Linked DNA regions of Sus scrofa. The protein of the gene in region 2 interacts with the protein of the main gene of each other region in a pairwise test. Links are inferred from orthologs where the notes say so. Each region holds a gene or a part of one and is shown on either strand. Other genes may lie near its edges.

What was found.
Region 1: the proteins of GOLGA1 (region 2) and PDCL2 interact in a two-hybrid assay, tested with the Homo sapiens proteins (2 studies listed by BioGRID). The two-hybrid records come from large-scale screens. The link is inferred for Sus scrofa from reciprocal best matches to the Homo sapiens genes GOLGA1 and PDCL2.

What each region holds. Positions count from the first base shown.
Region 1 is NC_010450.4:54,947,151-54,951,454, forward strand, and holds the start of PDCL2 (phosducin-like protein 2), read right to left. Parts: upstream 2,812-4,304; 5' UTR 2,788-2,811; coding exon 2,740-2,787; intron 1-2,739. UniProt on the Homo sapiens protein: Essential for male fertility, spermiogenesis and acrosome formation.
Region 2 is NC_010443.5:265,703,089-265,707,382, reverse strand, and holds the start of GOLGA1 (golgin subfamily A member 1), read left to right. Parts: upstream 1-1,475; 5' UTR 1,476-1,629; exon of another isoform or gene 1,630-1,952; intron 1,953-2,424; 5' UTR 2,425-2,474; intron 2,475-3,346; 5' UTR 3,347-3,510; coding exon 3,511-3,645; intron 3,646-4,294. UniProt on the Homo sapiens protein: Involved in vesicular trafficking at the Golgi apparatus level. Involved in endosome-to-Golgi trafficking. Mechanistically, captures transport vesicles arriving from endosomes via the protein TBC1D23.

The DNA.
Region 1 (4,304 bases), on a different chromosome or scaffold from region 2:
TTATTCTTTTTGATGCAATCATACATGAAATGGCTCAAAATTATTCACTGTATTATATAGTAATGTCTTCATCAAAATTTTGTTACTTTTTTATATTTTCCTACCGCCTGAAGATGATTTCAATTTGGTCTTTTGTTTTTTAAACATAATAAGCACAACTGTTTTATAACCTGCTCCTGATCATTCCAATAACTCAAGTCTCTGCAAGTCTGTTTTTGTTGGTTCATACTCACAGTGTCCCTGTTCCCTTGTGCGTTTGGTTACTTCTGACCGTTTTCTGTTGATGTCCTTGAGACCTTACCTGCAGGAATTCTTTAAGGCCTAAGAAAAAGATGTCTTCCTCAACAGAGGATGTGTTATTTTTTCCAGGCATTTACAAGCACTACAGTATATAACTAATTGATAACAACTTAACAGTTGGAAGTTTGCTGTATCACCCAGAAATATGTCTCAGGTTGTGAGAACTGTCTTGAGCCACAGCTTCTTGGTAATAGGTTTTACCATATCCTTCGGTTCCTCCTCACCCTGTGATTATACCCAGGACCAAAAAGCAGATTGATAAGACACCCTTGGGGTAAAAGTGACTTTACAGCTCTGGAAATGCATTCACCTGGTTTTCCACTTTCCCTTTGATTTTGGTCTCATAGTTTAATATCATGTTATCTGTGACACTTTCAAGGAGATATGTTTTACAGTCTAGCCAGCATTTTACTTGTGTTCAGCAGGAGAGTTGGTCCAAAAATCCTAATCCATTATTTTCAGAAAACACAACAGTCACTTTTTAAAAAACCCTCCCTGCATTTCACATCCCCTACCACTCTCTCTCTCTTCTTTCTAGTCAAGCTTTTAGTAATTGCTTATATTGTCTAATTGTCTATATATGCTATAATCACATTTACCAACCATTCACTCTTCAACCTACTCCAGAGTTGGCTTCTACCACCAATACTTCTTTCAAAACTTCTCTAAGTCACCTATGAGCTCCACATTATTTTCAATGGATAAATACATTTGTATTTGAGCTCGTAAGCAGAATCTGGAGAGAGCTTGTCATTATTTTCTTGTTAGAAAAACTTTCTTCATATTCATGACGTCAGGTACTTAGGGTTTTATTCATACCTCTCTGGCTGCTCTCCTTAACTGATCTAGGAGTTAGCTGCAGTGGGATTTAACAGTAAATGCTCTATATTCTCATTTTCCCTTCACTTTTAGAAATTATCTATGAAACTGTAATAGAAATAGAAACCACAATCTATTTGATAAAAGTATTATGCATTTATCATACATAAATAGTTACATCTGACTCCCTCTTATTCTCCAAAGAACTCCCTCTTTTAGAACAAGTCCATATCTACACATAAGCACCGCATAACTGGCTGTTGAATAAATCAACGAATAAATAAATGAACAAAGATGAATGTGATGTTGCCTTCACTCTCAATTACATTTCAGCCTATTTCTTGAAGAGCAGATGCAAATCAAGACAAATTTGCAATGTTTTAACATAGTGAACAAAATGTACTTGCTAGGAATCTATTATTAAGACAAAAGAAATACCCCTTAAAAATTACACGTAATTTATGTTCAAACTAGTCTAGCAAATTATACACCACACATGATTACCAAAATTAAATATGTAAAACAAGAAAAATCACAGTGGTTTTGATTTTGGGGAGCCAGTGGGAAGAAGCTGTTTCTGAAGTTGGAAAGTGAGAATTTTACTCTGATAAAAAAAGAAAAGCACAGGCTTTTTTTTTTTTTTTTTTTTGCTTTGTAGGGCCACACCCTCGGTATACAGAAGATCGCAGCCTAGGAGTCGAATCAGAGGTACAGCTGCTGGCCTACACCACAGCCATTGGGATCAGAGCCTCGTCTGCAGTCTACACCACAGCTCAAGGCAATGGAACCTGCAACCTTGTGGATCCTAGTCGGGTTTGTAAACCACCGAGCTGTCAAGGGAACTCCCAAAACACAGGTTTCTGATTAATAAGGCACCTTGTAACATAGGAGCAGCTTTCTTAGGAATTAATAGAAATCTAACAGGTTTTGTGATCAAGTGAGAGAAACGCCTTGAAAGCGCCTGTTGTGGTTCAGCAGTAGTACTTTGGTTCAGAGCCCAAGTAGTATCCATGAGGATGCTGGTTCAATCCCTGGCCTTGCTCAGTGGGTTAAGGATCCTGTGTTGCCTGAGCTGTGGTGTAGGTCGCAGATGTGGCTCAGATCCCCCATTGCTGTGGCTATGGTTTAGGCTGCCAGCTGCAGCTCTGACTCAACCCCTAGCCTGGGAACTTTCCTATGCTCTGGGTGTGGCCCTGAGAAGGCAGGAAGGAAGGAGGGAGAAGAAAAGGAAATAGAAAAGAAAAGAAAAACCCCAGGGACAGTTGGTCTTTCTCAAAACAAGTGCAACTATTAGGGTTTCCTCTCTGATCTTTCTTAAAATGTGGTGGGGCAGGATACTTAAAGTGGATTACACTTGGGCTAATGTTGACAGTCTATTTCTTAAGTCAGAATCAGAGCGGCAGTAAAAATTTCAGGTGAGAAATGCAACCCCAAAATTCCTCCAGCGACAAACCGAAATCTCGAGTGTTGAAAAACAGGTGTTGTCCTAGAGTTGATCTGAATTTCTCTTCAATCCTGACAGGGACGCACAAAAATTAGCTCTTATCCAAAACAAATGTGAGAACCGAACCTCTAAAGGCCACCCCCTCCACCTTGCTCAGCCTCGGGCCCAGCCGGCACCTCTTTAGGGTGCCCCAGGGTCGCTGAAGGCCGCGACCCCACCTGCATGGCGTTGCTCCTCGCCCCGCAACCGCCGCCGTTGTGCAGCCCCTGGCGGGGACTCCTGGCTCCAAGGTCCTCAGAAGCAGCAGGAAGACCGCCGCGCCCCTGCGTCTCCCACCGCCCGCGGAGAGGAAGAGCGGAGAACAAGAGACTGGACTCCCTGCTCAGGCGTAGCTCGGTTGCCAGGCAACGCGGAGGCGTGGCCTAGGCAAGGGGCTGTGGGTACTGGAGCGCCTGGGAGGTATGTTATTTGATATACTAATTTAGTAAAATCAGAATATAATGAGACTTAGGGTCTACTGGAGGTTAGATTCCTTGCTATATTGGTCCCAGCTAGTTGCTTCCTTTTTTTCTCTTTATATTTAACTATTTATGTTAACCATGCTAAAGGTGGGCATTGCTGGGTTTTGAACAAAGACCTGGAACAGGTCCCAAGCGGTGCCTCCCCTGCTCCTGGTACTGACACAGGTGCTGCCCATCTTCTCACCTTCCCTCCACCACCACCAAGTCAAGGCGTGTTTTCCGAGCCTCTGGTTCCCTTTAGTCCCCTGTCTTCATGACAAGGAACAAAGTCGTGGGGAGAGAACCTCTCAGCCGAGGATTTCTAAACCCGGAGCCCATAGCCTGTGTTTGGATGGATTTTAGGGGCTGCCAAGCCCCCAGCCCTCAGTGCACACATATTTTGGGTGCGATTTAGGGACCAGAGCTTTCGTCAGATTCTCAAACGGTTCCCCTCCCCCGTCCTAAAAACCTCCGAAGACAGGCGCTCCCAAGGAAGCCAAGACAGTTTGGTTCCTTGGTGCATAAGTTAAGGAAAGGATGTTTACTGGGAGCTGACAGGAACATGAGGAAAGCATTTGATGTTCTTGCCAAATAAGGTTATACCCGTGGTCGCAAAGACATGAAAGGATTTGTAAAAAAGAAGAAAAAAAAAAACGCTTTTTAGTGACACAGCTTAAACTTGGGCAACCCCCTCTGTAGGGCCCAGGTCACACAAATCCTACCCTCCTAATAGCCTTTTTGTTCTGCTGTATTTTTGTGTAAGGTATTAATGTATTAAAATATTACAAGTTTTGTAACCCTGTTTTATTTTCAACTTTTCCTCCTTCCCTTCCTCCCCCTCTTCCTTTCTCTTTCCCCTCCTCCTTCTCTTCTTCTTCCTTTTAATATCGTGGGGACCCCCAAATGTAAGTGACCTAAATCTCTCTAGGTTTCTGGGAGGCCCTGGGAACTGCTGCTTAAATTAGTGGTCAACTCCCTTTCTTATTTTGATCATCCCTAATCAGGCTAGTTGAATTACCATGGCTAGCACTGGCTAATGTTGCTCTAGGCATGTATGGCTTTGAAGCCCTCTGGTTCCCAAGTTAATCGTTTGGTCCCTGTTGAAGCCCAATTGTAGCCAAAGCTCTCTGTCTTGGTGCAGAAGGGCTCATGATTCATCTGGTTGGTGGCTGAGATCAATACAACACAGGCCAAAGAATGTGCAGTGGCCAAAGACTGGAGAAATGGGAACCAAGTCCACA
Region 2 (4,294 bases):
GGCCCTTGTCTTTCCAATGTTTTCTTCTGTTATATGGTGCCTCCCACCTTGAGGGCGCTTAAATACTAGAGGATGGAGTATGTTTTGATGTTTATTGAATAACAAGATTACAGAATATTTGATTTTTGTTGTCAGTGTATTGAAGACATTTTTGCATTGATAAATGTTCTCTAGGAATGTGATTACATTCATCAGGTGTGAACTCTTGTAAAAATAAATTTTGTATCTTGAATTCCCGTATATATTAAGTGTATCATCAATATAAAAATAAACATTATTTGCTTAAAGTTTTTGTACTTCTTCAGAATTGTTGACAATATAAATATTAAACTGATGGGGCTTACTTCTTTCAGATAATACCTTGGATACTTCAGTCTTGGGGTTGTGGATTCCATGCGCGTCTTTTAGTTTGTAAATTTCTTCTGGGTCCTAGTTACGGTCTTTTTCCCTGCCCTCCTCCTGGTGGTCATAACTGGCACAGGCGGGGTGAGGGATTGTTTCGGGGGATCGGGTGGAAGTTCCTAGCCCTCAGGCTGGTGGTGTTGGATTTGGGCAATAACACATGCAACTTCAACGTGGAATGGCCGGCTTGGTTGGCACCGAGCATTCCGGAGACTCGACGTAGGCTACCAATTTGTACCGTGATACAAGGCAGTTTTACCTCCCTGCATTTTCTTCATCTGTCAAAAGTTGGAGGCCCATTAGTGGACTGAGAAATGAATGTGATGGGCTACCGCCTGCGTGTTTTTCTAAAGAAATGCGATGTCTCACCGTGCACTATGTAATAAGGGTATGATTCTCCAAACTTCTTTCACTGATACGTTATATGTCCTGGATTGCAGTATAAAATGTATAACCTGAGAGTTCTCTTGTGGCGCCCAGCGGGTTAAGGACCCAGCGCTGTCACTGCTGTGGTGTGGGTTCGATCCCTGGCCCAAGAACCTGCACGTGCCAAAAAATTTTAAGAATTAAAAGCAAAATGTATAAACTACAGTACGTCACAGGCACAAAACACCGGTTACATGGCGCGAGTTCTCAGTAGTACTTTATGGAGTCACAGCTTCTTGCAAGTGGCGAGGTGACTGTGTAGGGTGCAGAGGGATTGGGATGCAGGGAGAGGAATAAAAATTCTGTGCTGGCCCAGCATCACCACGGCCGGTGGGTCTCCATGCGGTTCAGCACAGGCTGCCCCCCCCTCAACAACTGCCTTCTTTCTCTTTGGCAACAGGCTCCTCCCACTTCCCCGGCTCCGCATCGCCCCCTTTCGAGGGACAAGAAAAAAAAGGAAACACTTCGGCCGCTCAGTCCTCCTACGCGGTCAGGCAGCTAGCTGACGTGGCGAACCTGCCTGAGGGAGCGCCGGGTCCCGCGCCCTCAAGCGGCTCGGGGCAAACTGCCACCCCGAAGCTCAAGCAGCTGCCGCGAAGGCTGCGCTCAGGCGCATGCGCGCGGTGGGAGGGCTGCGCGCGGTGGGCCTGCCCCGCGCGCAGCCACTTCCGGCGCGCGGGTGGAAGTGAGGTTCCGGGTCGCTGCCGTGCTCGCCGGCCGGTCGTGGGGGCTGGTGACGGGGGCCGGCGTTCACTAGAGGGCCCGGAGGCGGGGCTCTGCCGGCTGCCCAGAGAGCGGCAGGTGCGCGGGCGGGGGCAGGAGATGCAAGCAGGCCCCTCATTCTCCTGCTTGCTTCCGTGCGCCCCCAGAGCGGCCCTGACTGGGTTACTCCTGACCCAAGCCGGGGGCAGTACTGGGGTGCCGAAAGGGCGAGGGTAGGGGCCGAAGCGGGCTCCCCGGCCTGGGAATTTGGAGCCTAGGGGTCCGGAATTCCCGCCTGCGCGACCTCGGGCAAATCACTCTTCCGTGATTCTGAGTTTCCCTGCTGTCAAATTGGAGAGACTTTGGGTCCCTCCCTTCTTTGACAGTCCACGTACAGGCGGGTCTGGAAGGAGCCTGAGTGAGTGAGTGGAAACTACCGTGGCAGATGGCTGGCCTTTGGGTCTTAGACAGCTGTCTCTTACCCAACTTAGCCGTCTCTTTTCTTGGCGACTTTCTTAGTTCGAGTCAAGGCTTTGGGTCTAGCCAGGTAACGACAGTCAGGATCTATTGAGAATTTATTACTGGCCATGGGTAACCTTAATCTCATTCGGATTGTTTTGCTCAGGGCTCCCGAGGCGAAGTGAATTTCGCCACTTACTACAGTGAGTTTCAGTTCTTTGGCCTGTCAATGAAGCTTTTAGGCAAATCACAAATGCAAAGACCAGGGAGAGGGAGAGGAGACCACTGAGGATTGCGACAGTGGCAGCTTTTTCTCTCCCCCTCACCTAAATCCTTCCTCCTTCCTCTTCCTCTACCCTCGCCTGACCCCTCCTCAACATTTTGGCCTTACACTTGAGGAAATATCCAATGCGGTTTATTTTTGTTTTCATGCAGGACAGAGAGCTTTGACCTCCAAGCTGTTTTAAGTCTAGTAGATAAGCCAGGTGAGTAGCTGGTTTTCAGTATTGAAGGTAAAAGTTTTTGAAGACTCGTAAAGACTTAAATGGATGCTCTGAAGTGGTAAGAAGTCATTGGTAGATTTTAGAGCAGTGCTTAGGTATCCTCCACAAAATATCAAAAGTTAAGGTTGGAGCCAGAATGTTAATGTAGCATACACGTTAGGAGGGAAAGATGTTTGAACCTCATGGTGAATATTATGTAAAACATTCTGAAGAAAAGAAACCTACTCGAGGTAATTTGAATCACCCTTAAAAGAGAACCACACAGCACTTCCAGGAAACATTTAAGGCTATCTGATACCTGTACAGTATAGTTGTGTGGCTTGCTTGTTTTGTTTTGTTTTTTTAGAAAAAAAGTTGTCAATTTTTTCTGGTGAACGGCTGATTGGAAACCATCTTCGAACTTTAGAACTTTACACCTTTTCGTTGTATTAAGTTACATATTTTTGTCTTCATCTTTAACAAAACAAAACGCTAAACTGTATGTAATTGGGGGAAAGATTCAAAAGCGTTGTTATGTTAATGTTTGCCCCAGGAAACTTAATGTGTGTATACCACAGCCAATGTGGTATAATAAAAAAGAAAGTGAGGACTTATGAGTCAGAGTCCTGGGTTCAAATGCCATCCCTGCACATAACCACACAATCTTTGGCACATTACTTCATCTCCTTGAGACTGGATTTCCTTATCTGTATATGTGCATATGTAGTAGCTTTTTAAAGATTTAGTAATTGTGTTTTATTTAGTGTGCATTAAAATTGTGAAACTTAATTTTGAAACCTGAAGCTTAGCAAAGCAACCCAGATGTGAAATATCTCTGGTATTTAACTTAGAGCTCTCTTTCATCTGATTTATAGACACCCTGTTGCCACAAGCCTTTGGCCCAAGTTTCAGTGGGAATGCAGCTAGTTTGGATATCTGGAACTTTTTAGGCACTTTTTTGGAATTCCTGGTTGCTGGCCTAACGACTACTGTAGTGGTTCAAGACCTTGTCATCAGTGCAGGATAGCCACACAGCAAAATGTTTGCAAAACTAAAGAAGAAAATTGCAGAAGAGACTGCTGTCGCCCAGAGGCCTGGAGGTGCTGCTAGGATCCCACGATCAGTGAGCAAGGAATCGGTTGCCTCTATGGGAGCTGACTCAGGAGATGACTTTGTAAGTATCTTCTCTAGTTTTTAATATTTGGTCAGTCTCACTATATTTTTAAAATAATATTTGTGGGAAACTTTCCAGCAAGTATTTTATTTTTAAATTGCAAGATTACTTGTTTATATCTAATTCTTCTTACTCTGAGGTGAGGTGCTTTTCTATTTTTTTTTCTTAATTTTCACAAATCCCTTTTTATATGCTCTACGTTGTCCTCTTGTACTCTTTTTTCCATCTATATACCTTGTGTATCTTCTTTTACATTCTGTTTTTCAAAATGCTTTGGCCTGTTGTCTCTACACACATATTTTAAGTCATTGTTGCTTAGCAAGTTCTTTGAGTTTGGTGTGGAATTAGCCAGGGAATTAGCTCTATGTTAACGGAGAAGTTGATGAAGAGATGACACTGGTGGCCACATTATGTCCCTTATTTGTAAAGTATCTTTGTAGTTGGAAAGATTTGAGGATACTGCTGTGGTAGGTAAATGTCATGCCTTACGATTAAAATTGTGTCTGTGGCATATGACAGGGTCCTCTCAAAGTGAGATAACTTTTTTTTTTTTGCTTTTTAGGGCTGCACCCTTGGCATATGGAGGTTCCCAGGTTAGGGTTCGAATCAGAGCCACAGCCACAGCAACGGGGGATTTGAGCCACATCTG